Linked DNA regions of Saccharomyces cerevisiae S288C. The protein of the gene in region 1 interacts with the protein of each later gene in a biochemical or structural test. Each region holds a gene or a part of one and is shown in the gene's direction. Other genes may lie near its edges.

What was found.
Region 2: the proteins of UFO1 (region 1) and FAS2 form a complex in vitro, tested with the Saccharomyces cerevisiae proteins (one study listed by BioGRID).

The regions. Positions count from the first base shown.
Region 1 is NC_001145.3:90,505-97,967, forward strand, and holds UFO1 (SCF ubiquitin ligase complex subunit UFO1), read left to right. Parts: upstream 1-1,730; coding exon 1,731-3,737; downstream 3,738-7,463. Other genes in the region: RPM2 (ribonuclease P), read right to left, coding at 1-227; AIM33 (cytochrome-b5 reductase), read right to left, coding at 3,927-4,865; ALO1 (D-arabinono-1,4-lactone oxidase), read right to left, coding at 5,287-6,867; alpha-tubulin TUB1, read right to left, coding at 7,437-7,463. UniProt on the Saccharomyces cerevisiae protein: Substrate recognition component of a SCF (SKP1-CUL1-F-box protein) E3 ubiquitin-protein ligase complex which mediates the ubiquitination and subsequent proteasomal degradation of target proteins. Probably recognizes and binds to phosphorylated target proteins.
Region 2 is NC_001148.4:106,717-116,460, forward strand, and holds FAS2 (trifunctional fatty acid synthase subunit FAS2), read left to right. Parts: upstream 1-1,935; coding exon 1,936-7,599; downstream 7,600-9,744. Other genes in the region: MIND complex subunit NSL1, read left to right, coding at 1-106; SSO1 (syntaxin), read left to right, coding at 559-1,431; USV1 (Usv1p), read left to right, coding at 8,596-9,744. UniProt on the Saccharomyces cerevisiae protein: Fatty acid synthetase catalyzes the formation of long-chain fatty acids from acetyl-CoA, malonyl-CoA and NADPH.

The DNA.
Region 1 (7,463 bases):
TCCAGGTCGTGCGGATGCAAAATATCATCTACGTTGTTATAGTTTACATTCGCTACTACGACCGGATGAGGATGTAGATGAGATGCATGAAGTACGGGATCCGAATTTACCAAACCTTGGTTTTGCCTTAGATACTGGTAGGAGCTATCGAAAAAAGATGTTGCAGTTTTCTTTTGAGCGGCGGAACGATGATAACCTTTAGAGTATATGAATGATTTGAAAGCCATTTTCGTTTGTGTATGCTTGTTTTTTCTTTTCTGTTTGTTGTAGTCTCTATAAATTTAAATGCACTTATCTTTTTATGCAAAAAAAGCTGGGCGAGTTATTTGTTTCTATATTTGTATAATTTTTTTTTTTGTGAAGATGAATATAAACTGACAAAAAATTGTGTCAGAGTTGAAGCTATAGCTCCTTTTATGATGTGTCTTGGTTCTTTGGGTGCGATATTAGGGAAACAACGCACAGCAAATTTTCTTCTGCTTTCTTATAACGTTATAAACAATCCTGTTGTCTTGGTTTATTATGTGGAAAACTTTTCACGGATCAATTTTATAAAGCATACAACTAAAGAGAAAAGTGTAATATGGACGAACGAGAGACAACTTAATCCATGGATTTGTAATTGACGTGTGTATGATTCGAGGGAAACTGACAGTTTTTGCTTTGTCATGGGGGAATTGTAAGGCACACCGAGTCTCGGCCCCGAGTGCCTGGCCAATGAGAACGCGCGCATTCGGAGCTGCCCCACTTTTTGTGCGCTCTTGCATTTCATTGGTTAGCCGGAGGAATTCGGCGGTTAAAAGCGGACTCGAGCGGAAATAAAGTCTTTGCTTATTGTATGCCAGGAAAAGCTCTACAAATCTACTAAAAGAGTCAAATATACAGCTTTGCCAAGCGTGCGGCATAGGGAATAACAACAAATTGGAAATGTGCGGCTAGCGTAATCTTGGTATCTACTACCGACTCTGAAGAGTTTAGCGGGCTCTCAGACGGTTTTTTCGCTTTTGGCATTTTATTCAGGTAGCCTTAGATGTTAAATTTTCCATGGCATCTTGCGTAAAGCCTGCTAGGTTCCTTGCCACGTATAATTGCGCCGCGAATTCTGTGATAAATATATTGTAAGATTTTCTGTTGTCTTGGAATTGCTCTCTCTTTAAATAATACTTTATATGTTTACCCCAATTCTTTGCCGCCGAAAGGTCAGCGTTGCATTACGTGGTGTCCGGTCGCTATTTCCTGGGTTTTCTGCGGCAGATTCGCACTGCGCGCCACAGCTGCAACAACTGCAGTGTTATTTCGGGTGCCAATTTAGCGTGCTTCGATCTAACTATTCTGTAAATTCTGTAGTGACTCTTTAGGGCGAAGTACGTATTTCATGATTTAAAATCCCCGTCTTCAAATATACCGAAAAAAGAAACAAGACATTTTTTAGCAGTTTATGTACGCATTTTAAAAGCCGGGAAATGCTTCTTGTTACCCCTTTTGGCGCTTTGGATAAGTAGTTCACTTAGCTATTTTTTTTTCCGGTTCGAACTCGGGGTGAGGCTTTATCATGCACTTTTTTTTGGCTATTATTAATTTTCGCAGCCTTAATTTTTCCCTTTCCATTTTCTCGCATGTGGCGGTTTTCAGTATTACTTAGAGATGCCTTAAATAAATCTAACAGGCAGGTATACCAGGTACGAGTTAAAAACCTTTATCAGGTGGCCGACACTAGGGAATAAGACAGCATGGAGCGGCCTGGCTTGGTATTGCAGGACCTTCCACCCGAAATCCTGATAAACATCTTTTCTCACTTAGACGAAAAGGACTTGTTCACGTTGCAAGAACTTTCTACGCATTTCCGGAACTTAATTCACGATGAAGAACTTTGGAAGAACCTGTTTAAGTCTAGAGTTCACACGACTCATTTCCCCACATTTTCTCAGTCTTCGAAATTTAGTGTAGAGTATATTGAAAGGACACGGGGTCTTCATCATTGGCAGCATAACAAGGCTATAAGAACCAAATACACAATAATTCCGACGAGAAACTGGGATCAGCCCAGTATAGAACGCATAGTGTTTGATTATCCACGAGTTGCAGCTTATAATGATGGTACCATTACAATTTTACAGTTACAAAATCACAAAAGGCAGAAGAAATTTAAGAAATTGATTTATATTCCATGTACAACACCACAAGGTTGTTCTACCATGGACTTCAATATTAATGCTGCAGTGTTTGGTAGGTTTGACGGCAGAGTGTTTGGAAAACTGCTAAGTAACAAATCGTACTTAACGCCCGTGATGGAATTTACGGGAAGGCATAGTGCAGGCGTTACTGCCATTTGTAATTCAGAATCCTGGGACACGTCAAGAGAGGACTGGTCTGTTAGTGGCTCTGAAAACGGTGAAATTATATGGTGGTGCGAAAATAAGCTTGTTAAGATGTGGAAGGTTTCTAATAGGGTAATTTGGAAACTGGCTTTTTTTAAAGATTGGACCTTAATTATGGATGATGAAAAGCTGTACATTATCCATCAAATGCAGGAATTGCACAGTATTGATATTCCTAAGGATCTGGACGAACAGCCTATGAGGGTACGGTTTTTCAAGATGGATTTCGGTTCCATGACTTTGGTACTTGCTGACCTGAATAACGTTTATACAATATCGGTCAATCCCAATGGTAACTTCGGCAATTTGAGAAAGTTGGAGATGCCTGAACAAATATGCGCAGTTGAAATAGATGAAAAAACTTCTCAAAGGGAACAAAACTGGCAATTTGCTGGTGATGACGGCTGCTATATCAGTCTTTTGACGACACAGAACACTTTATACATTATCAATATAAGAGATCTTTCTTCGTCAGGCTTAAAAGTTCAATGTAAGATAAGTTTTGATGAGCAGGTATACGTATCGCAGGTGACAAATTTAATAGTTGTGGTAGCATTGCCAAATGTTCTTCAAATATTGAACGCGATGACAGGCGAGTTAATAAAGACAGTGTTGAAAACCGAGAAGTTTCCCGAATTTTTGAAGGTATCGCAGGATAAAATCATTATGGGAAGCGGTAACGTTTTGAATTATTTAAAGTTTGTTTCAAGTGATTCAAAGAAACATCACCATTCCACTAAAGGTAAAAACACAGTAAGCAATAAGTGGAATGAAACTTTGAACACGGAGCTGCAATATTATGATGAAGATGAAGACCTTAGAAGAAAAAGACAGTCAGAAATATCAAGATTGATCGATGCGTATGGTGGAGACCTTGAACTTTCAGGCGACACCGATGAAGAAAACGACATTCAGTTGAGAATTGCACTCTTAGAATCACAGGAGGCGCAAGCACGGAATCAAGCTGAAGCGGGGGAGCCTGTCGGAGATGATGAAGATGAGCAGTTAAGAAGGGCGCTGGAGGAATCTCAACTGATATATGAGACGCAAACGAATAGCTCTGCGAATCATGGTAATAATACGAATGATGAGATAGATGAAGATGATGAAGAGTTTCTCAGAGCCATCAGACAATCAAGAGTGGAGGACGAAAGGAGAAGACATCTTAGAAATCATACTACAGGTCGACGAAATGGGCCCTTGAGCGACGATAATTTTGCTACATATGGTGCAGCAGAGTCATCCGAACGAACCTCAACTGAGAACACTATCGGTAGTTCTGTTGGCGTTGATGCTAGTAATAATGTTGATGAAGACTTACAATTGGCCATTGCGTTGTCATTGAGTGAAATCAATTGAAAGTATGTACATTTGGAAGAGCATATGTTAAATATTTTATTTATAGATTTTTCGTTGTGAAATATTATTTTTTTTTTTTTGAAAAAAATGTCGGACTTTATTCCTCCTAATTATTAATAAAATACGAATATATATCTAAATATAATTAATGCTTATTTACATGAAAAATCATCAATCGTAAACAGTTGATTAAAAAACAAAAACTTTATCGGTTCCATTACCTTTGTGAAACCCATTACTCCACCCCAACTCCTTTGCATAATTCAAAACCATTTCATTCATTTTAGGTGGTCCGCAAATCAATAAACGATGGTCCTCCGCTTGTTTAGGTAGGTATCTTTTCATTTCCTCTAGAGTTACGTACCCAACATCACCGTTCCATTTACCGTTTGGCTTATGAATTACATAATGAACTTTAAAATGCGGGTACTCCTTAGCCATGTGGTCTAGTTGCGATTTCATGAGAATGTCATCCTCTGTTTCGTTTGCGTATATCAAAGAAATGTGTGTTAGGTCTTCTGGAGAGGGTATGATTTCTTGCAGCACTTGCAATACAGGGGTTATACCAGACCCCCCTGCGATTATACCCAACTCTGTTGCGGTGTCCTGATCATATTCCAGCTCACCTAACGGCCCTTTAAATTCAACATACTGGCGAATTTTTAATTTATCAAAATACTTAGAAACGACACCATGTTTATACGTCTTGACTACTAATTCCAAGTGACCCTCCGTATTAGGAACATTTACTGGCGTATAGTACCTCACTAATCGCTCACCATTTATTGTAACCCTTACTGCCAGGTGGTATCCCATGGGAATATGCAATCTTTCAAATGGGTACTTTAACTTGAAGCAGTACAGACTAGTATTACGAGAAATGCGGGTCTTCTTGGATAGCGGTAGCGCGACCCATTTATTTCTGTAAAGAGATTTATCAGTTCCAATCGAAATAAACGCTGTGGCATAAAGTACTACGAATTGCAGCAATGAAACGACCACGATTCTACCATTTTGCGTTTTCCAAAAGTAAAGAGGTGTAACCACACAATTCAGAAGCAATCCAGTACAAAATGGATAAAACGGATTTGTCGAAACAAAAGATATGCATGTCTCTACTATCGACATTGTTGCGAATGGTTGCTTTTTACAAAGAAAAAATGTGATATGAGTTAATACTAAACATACTTAAATCCTAGAGAGAAAAAAAGTACTGCAATATATACAGCACTCAAAATACATTTCTATCTGATTTCTAAAAACTTCCCTGTAGATGGATCTACGTTACGCCATGCCGATGTTTCGTTTTTGCTTATACGACCAATCATTACCGCGTTCGGCTTTTCCAAAAAAAAAAAACTATAGTAAGGATAATGAAAAGAAAAAAGGGTCCCATGATTACTAAAAAGCTCTAATTCAAAAAAAAAGTCTTTGATAGGCAGCTAGGAATAGTTATTAGAATGTACATGAACAGTCATCACACTGCTATATATATATATATATATATTCTTTTTTAGTAAAATATAGAGATTATTGAGACAAAAAGAGACTAGTCGGACAACTCACTAGGATCTATAATACCATTTATGATAGCCCACTGTTTGTTTGCCAAGAATACATTATCGGGATCTTGCTCCTTTCTTATTTTCCGGAACTTTTTCAAATCCTCGCCATACCATTCTTCAACCTTCAATGCCATCCCCCTCATTTCAAAGTCATCGTAATCAGTATCCTTTTTCACTGGTCCAGCAGCTAGAGTGGTTGAGCCTAGGAAGTTCTTGGCCCAATGTGGCTTACCTCCCGCTACCATCATAGTATTTTCAAAAAGGGTAAACCATTTATGAATTGGAGTATTACAGCCAAACGGCCTATAAATGGTAGCATTTATGTACAACGTCAACTGACTGTTGGTAACATTTTCCAACGGAGCAAATCTGCAATGGGATGGTGTGTTATCCAGGAATGGGCGGCACACATTGCCATAAACGGGACCGGGACTGGTGTTTGTTCTCTTGCTAGTATCCAAGGGTTCAGAAGGTAATGTAGTATTTGAGCAACGGACTTCCATAGGCACGTGGACATAAAATTCTTTGTTTATGGCAGCCTGCGCAATAGAATGATCCAATGAACGTAAGACTTCCAAACCATTATCCATAGGGCACCCCCATTCATCAACAAATTGTGAAAACAAACAGTCCATATTAAATCCGCTGATAGAATCGGTAACATTAACATCACCAGTAGAGCTCTTCTCCAATTTCCCGTATTGCCTGTTGAAAACGAACTTTTCCACAAATGGGGTTAATGGCGCATAGATTTTGGTAGAGATCCATAATAGAGTTTCGTAGAAAAATCTACCCAGCTTGGTACCCCACCATGACTTGGCTGGACCATTTTGGGCATCTGTAGTTTTGTTACCCCTCCATAGAACACATTTTCTAGTATAAGGGTACCACCAAACTCTGATAAATTCAGATGAAGTCCATAGGGTATCCCATTGCTTCAAAAGGTTTTCAAAAGTAATCACTTCTTGAGTGGATTTAATATTGAAGCCGGGAACAACCCTGATAGTAGCAGAGACAATGATACCAATTTTTCCAACTGAAAGTAAAGCAGCTTTAAAGACTTCTGGATCGTTTTCAGCATCCAAGAACTTCAATTCGCCCTTACCATTAACAATAGTCAAGTTTACGTATTGAGAAGAAATCAAACCGTGATAAGGTGAGGAACCATGACTACCAGTAGAGATTATGCCAGCAACACTTTGTTCTGAGATAGAGCCTAAATTTTGGATAGAGTAACCTTTCGCACCCAAAAATTCATTCAATTGGTAAAGCCTCATACCGGCATCAACTGTGACATCGGCATAATGTAACTCAGGATATTCAACAAACTTTTGTACTTTGTCCAATCTGTCTAAGTTAACAAGCCATTCATCAGTAACGCACATGTTACTAGGAGAATGGCCCGAACCAACAGTAACTAAGCTTTTTTCAGCTAGCCTGGCACTCTTTACTAACTCGACAACCTCATCAATTGAACTTGGTTGGAAGTAACGTTCTGGTTTTGCAGAATAAATTCCGGCCCAGTTTTTGAACACATAGTTCTTTCTAAATGGGATAGTAGACATGGGGTGAAAAACCTGATAATATCGGTAACTTTAATTTTACGGGTTCTTGTTTTACCTTCTAATGAATTTTAAGTTTTGAAAAGCAGAAAATCAGATATTGAAACTATAGATCTGCTTACCTTGAAGTTCACTATTTTTGGAATTCTCCTTGCTAATAGTTACTTCTACTCTTGCTTTGTCCTGGATATCAATGGAAGATGTCCTCATTTCCATTTTTTTTTTCAATTCGACGGCAAGGCGGGAGAAAAGGAACTAGGGATACAAAAATGCAATTACTAATGAAATCCGTGAAATAATCATGGAAATGGGTGATGTAAGAATCTGATGAAACAAGTACAAATGTCTTTGGCCCATCAACTACGATGAGACTTACTAAGCTTTCATCAAATGCAGGTTAGAGAAGGAGAATGGTTTTTTTTTTTATTTTTTGTACATAGATATTAGAGAAATATAATAAGTAGATTATAGATAAGATATCACCAAAGAGATATAACAGTAGGGGGAATTTTTTTTTTTACAATATACTTGAAATATAGAAAGGATAAGGAGGTTGGGGGCGAGAGTGAACCTTAAAATTCCTCTTCCTCAGCGTATGA
Region 2 (9,744 bases), on another chromosome or scaffold:
CGTTGCCTCACTCAATGAATTGTATCAAACACAGCAAGACCTACCCAAGGTAAGATATAACGTTGAAAAGGTCAAGCGCTTAATGGACTTCCTGGAGGAGGATTGAATAAATAACATATAAGACAGTCAACCTCGTGGTAAATGATAACTATATTCTGGGGCTTTATTCATTTTTTTACACTTTTTTATCTTTGTACGAAGAGCTGAAAATAAAAAAGTATAGAGCCAGCCTTTTCCCACACACTAACGACAAAAGACGATATGCAGGCTGTGCGCATGGGGGAGAATCCAGTTTTTGCCCGTTAAAGAGAAAAAATTAGTGTCTGTGAAACGCGAATACAAAAAAAGAAAAGTAGCAGGATCTTACTTCTCGTAAAGACGTCAAGAACCAAATCAAGTCAAATCGTGGAAGTTACAAGGGGAAAGACCAATAACTTTTAGTAAAGAACAAAGAAAGGTCTATCTCACGCAGTGACGGTCTTTGCGGTAAATCTGTGTATACTTGAAAGAAAACCCTTTTACAATTAAAAAAGGCAATTAAAAATAGAAACAAATCAAATGAGTTATAATAATCCGTACCAGTTGGAAACCCCTTTTGAAGAGTCATACGAGTTGGACGAAGGTTCGAGCGCTATCGGTGCTGAAGGCCACGATTTCGTGGGCTTCATGAATAAGATCAGTCAAATCAATCGCGATCTCGATAAGTACGACCATACCATCAACCAGGTCGATTCTTTGCATAAGAGGCTACTGACCGAAGTTAATGAGGAGCAAGCAAGTCACTTAAGGCACTCCCTGGACAACTTCGTCGCACAAGCCACGGACTTGCAGTTCAAACTGAAAAATGAGATTAAAAGTGCCCAAAGGGATGGGATACATGACACCAACAAGCAAGCTCAGGCGGAAAACTCCAGACAAAGATTTTTGAAGCTTATCCAGGACTACAGAATTGTGGATTCCAACTACAAGGAGGAGAATAAAGAGCAAGCCAAGAGGCAGTATATGATCATTCAACCAGAGGCCACCGAAGATGAAGTTGAAGCAGCCATAAGCGATGTAGGGGGCCAGCAGATCTTCTCACAAGCATTGTTGAATGCTAACAGACGTGGGGAAGCCAAGACTGCTCTTGCGGAAGTCCAGGCAAGGCACCAAGAGTTATTGAAACTAGAAAAATCCATGGCAGAACTTACTCAATTGTTTAATGACATGGAAGAACTGGTAATAGAACAACAAGAAAACGTAGACGTCATCGACAAGAACGTTGAAGACGCTCAACTCGACGTAGAACAGGGTGTCGGTCATACCGATAAAGCCGTCAAGAGTGCCAGAAAAGCAAGAAAGAACAAGATTAGATGTTGGTTGATTGTATTCGCCATCATTGTAGTCGTTGTTGTTGTCGTTGTTGTCCCAGCCGTTGTCAAAACGCGTTAATTCCAACTATTTTCTATATTTCTATTCTATCCGAACTCCCCTTTTGTATATCAATATATCTTAATACTTTCGCCTATTCTTTACTATATTTCCTAAATTTTCTCTGGTCTGCAGGCCAAAAACAACAACTTACTACTGAATCATGGACGTGTATTTAGTTTAGCCAAGCAATATTTAAATATCACTCTTCCTAAAAATACATTGGGCATTACCCGCAAACTAACCCATCGCTTAGCAAAATCCAACCATTTTTTTTTTATCTCCCGCGTTTTCACATGCTACCTCATTCGCCTCGTAACGTTACGACCGAAATCTCACTAAGGCACGGTTTGTTGGGCAGTTTACAGATGTTGGATAACCAGTTGTTTCTAAACGGTTATGCCTCATATATAACTTGTTAACTGAAGGTTACACAAGACCACATCACCACTGTCGTGCTTTTCTAATAACCGCTATATTAGACGTTTAAAGGGCTACAGCAACACCAATTGAAATACCATCATTATGAAGCCGGAAGTTGAGCAAGAATTAGCTCATATTTTGCTAACTGAATTGTTAGCTTATCAATTTGCCTCTCCTGTGAGATGGATTGAAACTCAAGATGTTTTTTTGAAGGATTTTAACACTGAAAGGGTTGTTGAAATCGGTCCTTCTCCAACTTTGGCTGGGATGGCTCAAAGAACCTTGAAGAATAAATACGAATCTTACGATGCTGCTCTGTCTTTACATAGAGAAATCTTATGCTATTCGAAGGATGCCAAAGAGATTTATTATACCCCAGATCCATCCGAACTAGCTGCAAAGGAAGAGCCCGCTAAGGAAGAAGCTCCTGCTCCAACTCCAGCTGCTAGTGCTCCTGCTCCTGCAGCAGCAGCCCCAGCTCCCGTCGCGGCAGCAGCCCCAGCTGCAGCAGCTGCTGAGATTGCCGATGAACCTGTCAAGGCTTCCCTATTGTTGCACGTTTTGGTTGCTCACAAGTTGAAGAAGTCGTTAGATTCCATTCCAATGTCCAAGACAATCAAAGACTTGGTCGGTGGTAAATCTACAGTCCAAAATGAAATTTTGGGTGATTTAGGTAAAGAATTTGGTACTACTCCTGAAAAACCAGAAGAAACTCCATTAGAAGAATTGGCAGAAACTTTCCAAGATACCTTCTCTGGAGCATTGGGTAAGCAATCTTCCTCGTTATTATCAAGATTAATCTCATCTAAGATGCCTGGTGGGTTTACTATTACTGTCGCTAGAAAATACTTACAAACTCGCTGGGGACTACCATCTGGTAGACAAGATGGTGTCCTTTTGGTAGCTTTATCTAACGAGCCTGCTGCTCGTCTAGGTTCTGAAGCTGATGCCAAGGCTTTCTTGGACTCCATGGCTCAAAAATACGCTTCCATTGTTGGTGTTGACTTATCATCAGCTGCTAGCGCTAGTGGTGCTGCCGGTGCAGGTGCTGCTGCCGGTGCAGCTATGATCGATGCTGGCGCTCTGGAAGAAATAACCAAAGACCACAAGGTTTTGGCGCGTCAACAACTGCAAGTATTGGCTCGTTATCTAAAAATGGACTTGGATAACGGTGAAAGAAAGTTCTTGAAAGAAAAGGACACTGTTGCTGAACTTCAAGCTCAGTTGGATTACTTGAATGCCGAATTAGGTGAATTCTTTGTTAACGGTGTTGCTACTTCTTTCTCTAGAAAAAAGGCCAGAACCTTCGATTCTTCCTGGAACTGGGCTAAACAATCTTTATTATCATTATACTTTGAGATAATTCATGGTGTCTTGAAAAACGTTGATAGAGAGGTTGTTAGTGAAGCTATCAATATCATGAACAGATCTAACGATGCTTTGATTAAATTCATGGAATACCATATCTCTAACACTGATGAAACAAAAGGTGAAAACTATCAATTGGTTAAAACTCTTGGTGAGCAGTTGATTGAAAACTGTAAACAAGTTTTGGATGTTGATCCAGTTTACAAAGATGTTGCTAAGCCTACCGGTCCAAAAACTGCTATTGACAAGAACGGTAACATTACATACTCAGAAGAGCCAAGAGAAAAGGTTAGGAAATTATCTCAATACGTACAAGAAATGGCCCTTGGTGGTCCAATCACCAAAGAATCTCAACCTACTATTGAAGAGGATTTGACTCGTGTTTACAAGGCAATCAGTGCTCAAGCTGATAAACAAGATATTTCCAGCTCCACCAGGGTTGAATTTGAAAAACTATATAGTGATTTGATGAAGTTCTTGGAAAGCTCCAAAGAAATCGATCCTTCTCAAACAACCCAATTGGCCGGTATGGATGTTGAGGATGCTTTGGACAAAGATTCCACCAAAGAAGTTGCTTCTTTGCCAAACAAATCTACCATTTCTAAGACGGTATCTTCAACTATTCCAAGAGAAACTATTCCGTTCTTACATTTGAGAAAGAAGACTCCTGCCGGAGATTGGAAATATGACCGCCAATTGTCTTCTCTTTTCTTAGATGGTTTAGAAAAGGCTGCCTTCAACGGTGTCACCTTCAAGGACAAATACGTCTTGATCACTGGTGCTGGTAAGGGTTCTATTGGTGCTGAAGTCTTGCAAGGTTTGTTACAAGGTGGTGCTAAGGTTGTTGTTACCACCTCTCGTTTCTCTAAGCAAGTTACAGACTACTACCAATCCATTTACGCCAAATATGGTGCTAAGGGTTCTACTTTGATTGTTGTTCCATTCAACCAAGGTTCTAAGCAAGACGTTGAAGCTTTGATTGAATTTATCTACGACACTGAAAAGAATGGTGGTTTAGGTTGGGATCTAGATGCTATTATTCCATTCGCGGCCATTCCAGAACAAGGTATTGAATTAGAACATATTGATTCTAAGTCTGAATTTGCTCATAGAATCATGTTGACCAATATCTTAAGAATGATGGGTTGTGTCAAGAAGCAAAAATCTGCAAGAGGTATTGAAACAAGACCAGCTCAAGTCATTCTACCAATGTCTCCAAACCATGGTACTTTCGGTGGTGATGGTATGTATTCAGAATCCAAGTTGTCTTTGGAAACTTTGTTCAACAGATGGCACTCTGAATCCTGGGCCAATCAATTAACCGTTTGCGGTGCTATTATTGGTTGGACTAGAGGTACTGGTTTAATGAGCGCTAATAACATCATTGCTGAAGGCATTGAAAAGATGGGTGTTCGTACTTTCTCTCAAAAGGAAATGGCTTTCAACTTATTGGGTCTATTGACTCCAGAAGTCGTAGAATTGTGCCAAAAATCACCTGTTATGGCTGACTTGAATGGTGGTTTGCAATTTGTTCCTGAATTGAAGGAATTCACTGCTAAATTGCGTAAAGAGTTGGTTGAAACTTCTGAAGTTAGAAAGGCAGTTTCCATCGAAACTGCTTTGGAGCATAAGGTTGTCAATGGCAATAGCGCTGATGCTGCATATGCTCAAGTCGAAATTCAACCAAGAGCTAACATTCAACTGGACTTCCCAGAATTGAAACCATACAAACAGGTTAAACAAATTGCTCCCGCTGAGCTTGAAGGTTTGTTGGATTTGGAAAGAGTTATTGTAGTTACCGGTTTTGCTGAAGTCGGCCCATGGGGTTCGGCCAGAACAAGATGGGAAATGGAAGCTTTTGGTGAATTTTCGTTGGAAGGTTGCGTTGAAATGGCCTGGATTATGGGCTTCATTTCATACCATAACGGTAATTTGAAGGGTCGTCCATACACTGGTTGGGTTGATTCCAAAACAAAAGAACCAGTTGATGACAAGGACGTTAAGGCCAAGTATGAAACATCAATCCTAGAACACAGTGGTATCAGATTGATCGAACCAGAGTTATTCAATGGTTACAACCCAGAAAAGAAGGAAATGATTCAAGAAGTCATTGTCGAAGAAGACTTGGAACCATTTGAGGCTTCGAAGGAAACTGCCGAACAATTTAAACACCAACATGGTGACAAAGTGGATATCTTCGAAATCCCAGAAACAGGAGAGTACTCTGTTAAGTTACTAAAGGGTGCCACTTTATACATTCCAAAGGCTTTGAGATTTGACCGTTTGGTTGCAGGTCAAATTCCAACTGGTTGGAATGCTAAGACTTATGGTATCTCTGATGATATCATTTCTCAGGTTGACCCAATCACATTATTCGTTTTGGTCTCTGTTGTGGAAGCATTTATTGCATCTGGTATCACCGACCCATACGAAATGTACAAATACGTACATGTTTCTGAGGTTGGTAACTGTTCTGGTTCTGGTATGGGTGGTGTTTCTGCCTTACGTGGTATGTTTAAGGACCGTTTCAAGGATGAGCCTGTCCAAAATGATATTTTACAAGAATCATTTATCAACACCATGTCCGCTTGGGTTAATATGTTGTTGATTTCCTCATCTGGTCCAATCAAGACACCTGTTGGTGCCTGTGCCACATCCGTGGAATCTGTTGACATTGGTGTAGAAACCATCTTGTCTGGTAAGGCTAGAATCTGTATTGTCGGTGGTTACGATGATTTCCAAGAAGAAGGCTCCTTTGAGTTCGGTAACATGAAGGCCACTTCCAACACTTTGGAAGAATTTGAACATGGTCGTACCCCAGCGGAAATGTCCAGACCTGCCACCACTACCCGTAACGGTTTTATGGAAGCTCAAGGTGCTGGTATTCAAATCATCATGCAAGCTGATTTAGCTTTGAAGATGGGTGTGCCAATTTACGGTATTGTTGCCATGGCTGCTACCGCCACCGATAAGATTGGTAGATCTGTGCCAGCTCCAGGTAAGGGTATTTTAACCACTGCTCGTGAACACCACTCCAGTGTTAAGTATGCTTCACCAAACTTGAACATGAAGTACAGAAAGCGCCAATTGGTTACTCGTGAAGCTCAGATTAAAGATTGGGTAGAAAACGAATTGGAAGCTTTGAAGTTGGAGGCCGAAGAAATTCCAAGCGAAGACCAAAACGAGTTCTTACTTGAACGTACCAGAGAAATCCACAACGAAGCTGAAAGTCAATTGAGAGCTGCACAACAACAATGGGGTAACGACTTCTACAAGAGGGACCCACGTATTGCTCCATTGAGAGGAGCACTGGCTACTTACGGTTTAACTATTGATGACTTGGGTGTCGCTTCATTCCACGGTACATCCACAAAGGCTAATGACAAGAACGAATCTGCCACAATTAATGAAATGATGAAGCATTTGGGTAGATCTGAAGGTAATCCCGTCATTGGTGTTTTCCAAAAGTTCTTGACTGGTCATCCAAAGGGTGCTGCTGGTGCATGGATGATGAATGGTGCTTTGCAAATTCTAAACAGTGGTATTATTCCAGGTAACCGTAACGCTGATAACGTGGATAAGATCTTGGAGCAATTTGAATACGTCTTGTACCCATCCAAGACTTTAAAGACCGACGGTGTCAGAGCCGTGTCCATCACTTCTTTCGGTTTTGGTCAAAAGGGTGGTCAAGCTATTGTGGTTCATCCAGACTACTTATACGGTGCTATCACTGAAGACAGATACAACGAGTATGTCGCCAAGGTTAGTGCCAGAGAGAAAAGTGCCTACAAATTCTTCCATAATGGTATGATCTACAACAAGTTGTTCGTAAGTAAAGAGCATGCTCCATACACTGATGAATTGGAAGAGGATGTTTACTTGGACCCATTAGCCCGTGTATCTAAGGATAAGAAATCAGGCTCCTTGACTTTCAACTCTAAAAACATCCAAAGCAAGGACAGTTACATCAATGCTAACACCATTGAAACTGCCAAGATGATTGAAAACATGACCAAGGAGAAAGTCTCTAACGGTGGCGTCGGTGTAGATGTTGAATTAATCACTAGCATCAACGTTGAAAATGATACTTTTATCGAGCGCAATTTCACCCCGCAAGAAATAGAGTACTGCAGCGCGCAGCCTAGTGTGCAAAGCTCTTTCGCTGGGACATGGTCCGCCAAAGAGGCTGTTTTCAAGTCCTTAGGCGTCAAGTCCTTAGGCGGTGGTGCTGCATTGAAAGACATCGAAATCGTACGCGTTAACAAAAACGCTCCAGCCGTTGAACTGCACGGTAACGCCAAAAAGGCTGCCGAAGAAGCTGGTGTTACCGATGTGAAGGTATCTATTTCTCACGATGACCTCCAAGCTGTCGCGGTCGCCGTTTCTACTAAGAAATAGAGAGAGCACTACGTAGTCCCTCTTTTAATATGTAACGTGTCGCTTCTATTTATCAGACATAATAGTAATTACTTTGTTATTTTTCTATCGTTTCCTTACTTTAGCCTCTGATTTCGATCTGGCCTAATCATTGTGTACGTCTATAATCATATGGCCCTGAGCGTACACACCGTTCAATTCTTCTATTTGGTCGGCCCACACAAATTCGCGCGGGGGCATATTGACGCGTGGAAGAATAGAAGTCCGCGTAGCAGCTCTGGGGTAATTAGGCTTTTACGATATCGGCTGGCCCAGCACCGGTTTTTATTCCTCCCGTGGTTGTTGTCTCTACCGTGAGGAGGGGAAAGGGTCAGGGACGGCCGGTAGTTATGTTGTCTCAACGATTACTGCCATCTATTGTTTACACCAATCGCGTGGGGCAAGGGGCTGGAAGGCTGTGGTGTACAGAATAGGGTCTAATACCCGATGCGCGACGCTCCTGCGACTGGTTGTGTGAGCCACCCCTTGATCGCCTCTGCCAAATACTCAGGGAAGAGAAAAATCGCGAAGGTGGACGAGTGCCCTTAAAGAACCAGCATCCTCGATCGCCGCTGCCGTTCGCCCTGGCTTAGCGGTGGGAAGCATCCTTTGGCTTTCGAATTCTCCGCCGTTGAGTCCCCCTAAGGGCCTTATTTATCCCCTCTATTTTTTTTTAGAAAATGTTTTCTTTTTCAAGATTTGTTTGCTCCTTCACGGCTTCCCCCTTAACCGTTCAACAGTCTTCCGTATATAACAATCTCAATCCACTCTTATTGCCTATAATTTTGATTAATTCTTATTCATCCCGGCAGATAAAGTTTCGTCTTGTTTTGAAAGAGACAGGAGTTCTTGGCTGCAGTATTTTGCAACAGCTTCATTAACCATGTATGTAAAGAAAAAATCTGGAGCGACTTACTGGCTTAGCTTTTTTTACTAACACATAAATAATACTGTGATAAGATAAGAAAAAAACACGAAATGGAAAATACCACGAATCGTAATACTGCAGGCGTTCTTACGAGCAGCAATGGTAACTTTGCCACCAATAGTGTAGCGGCATCAACTCCGAAGAGGTCCAAAAGTGCTCGAAGGAAAACGTTCAAATGCACCGGATATGACGGTTGTACGATGTCCTTCACTAGAGCGGAACATCTTGCACGTCATATAAGAAAGCACACTGGTGAAAAGCCGTTCCAGTGTCCTGCATGTTTGAAATTCTTCAGTAGAGTTGATAATTTGAAACAGCATCGGGAATCGGTCCATGCACATAAAAACCACCATTCTACCAGCTCGCACCAGCGTAAGCCTTCCTCTTCATCTTTATCCTCCTCTTCTTCTGCATCTTCTTCGTCTTCTGCTTCATCATCTACATCATATAGTGATCCTTACAGGAAAACTAATATTAATAGCGGGAACATGCCGATGATGGCAGAAAACGAAAAAGCGCCCCAAATAATACATTCTTCGCCGGAGTTCATTACTAGCACGAGAAGCATCCCACCCATCTCTCCAAGGTCCATTTATAATACCCAACGACAGCAACAACACCAACAACAACAGCATCAACAGGCTCCCTATTATTTTCCTTCCCATCCAATCACTGATAGTTACTACCAGTATCCTCTTCCCAGTAATAATAACACCATCAATTATTTACCATCAGTAGATGTGCAGTATCCTTTGAATGTGAGCCCCTCCTCAACGAGCCATCCGGCCTCTGAGGTAATCATATCGTCCTTTCCTCCGAGGTCCATGCCAAGTACTTCCTTCAAATATAAAGATTCTGCCGACTTTCAAGCACGGACAACTATGAACAAATACAATATTAGACCAAGCAATATCAATGTCAATACTAGTAATATCAATAACCATCTTGATTCATTCTCCCCGCCGTTTTCTCCGTCAACGACAGTTGCTGAAGCAAAACCAATTATTTTACCACAGTATCAGCAGGCATTTAGCCAACCACCAAATGGAAATAAAAACAATAATATGTCTTCCTCGAAGAATGGCGGCAAAGGGGGAGAAAATTTCAAGAATACTGATGATCGCAATGATAATAATAACAAAAAGAGGTCGGAAACTTTATCAGAGTCTGATATTTCGGTCAACACCAATAAGAAAAGG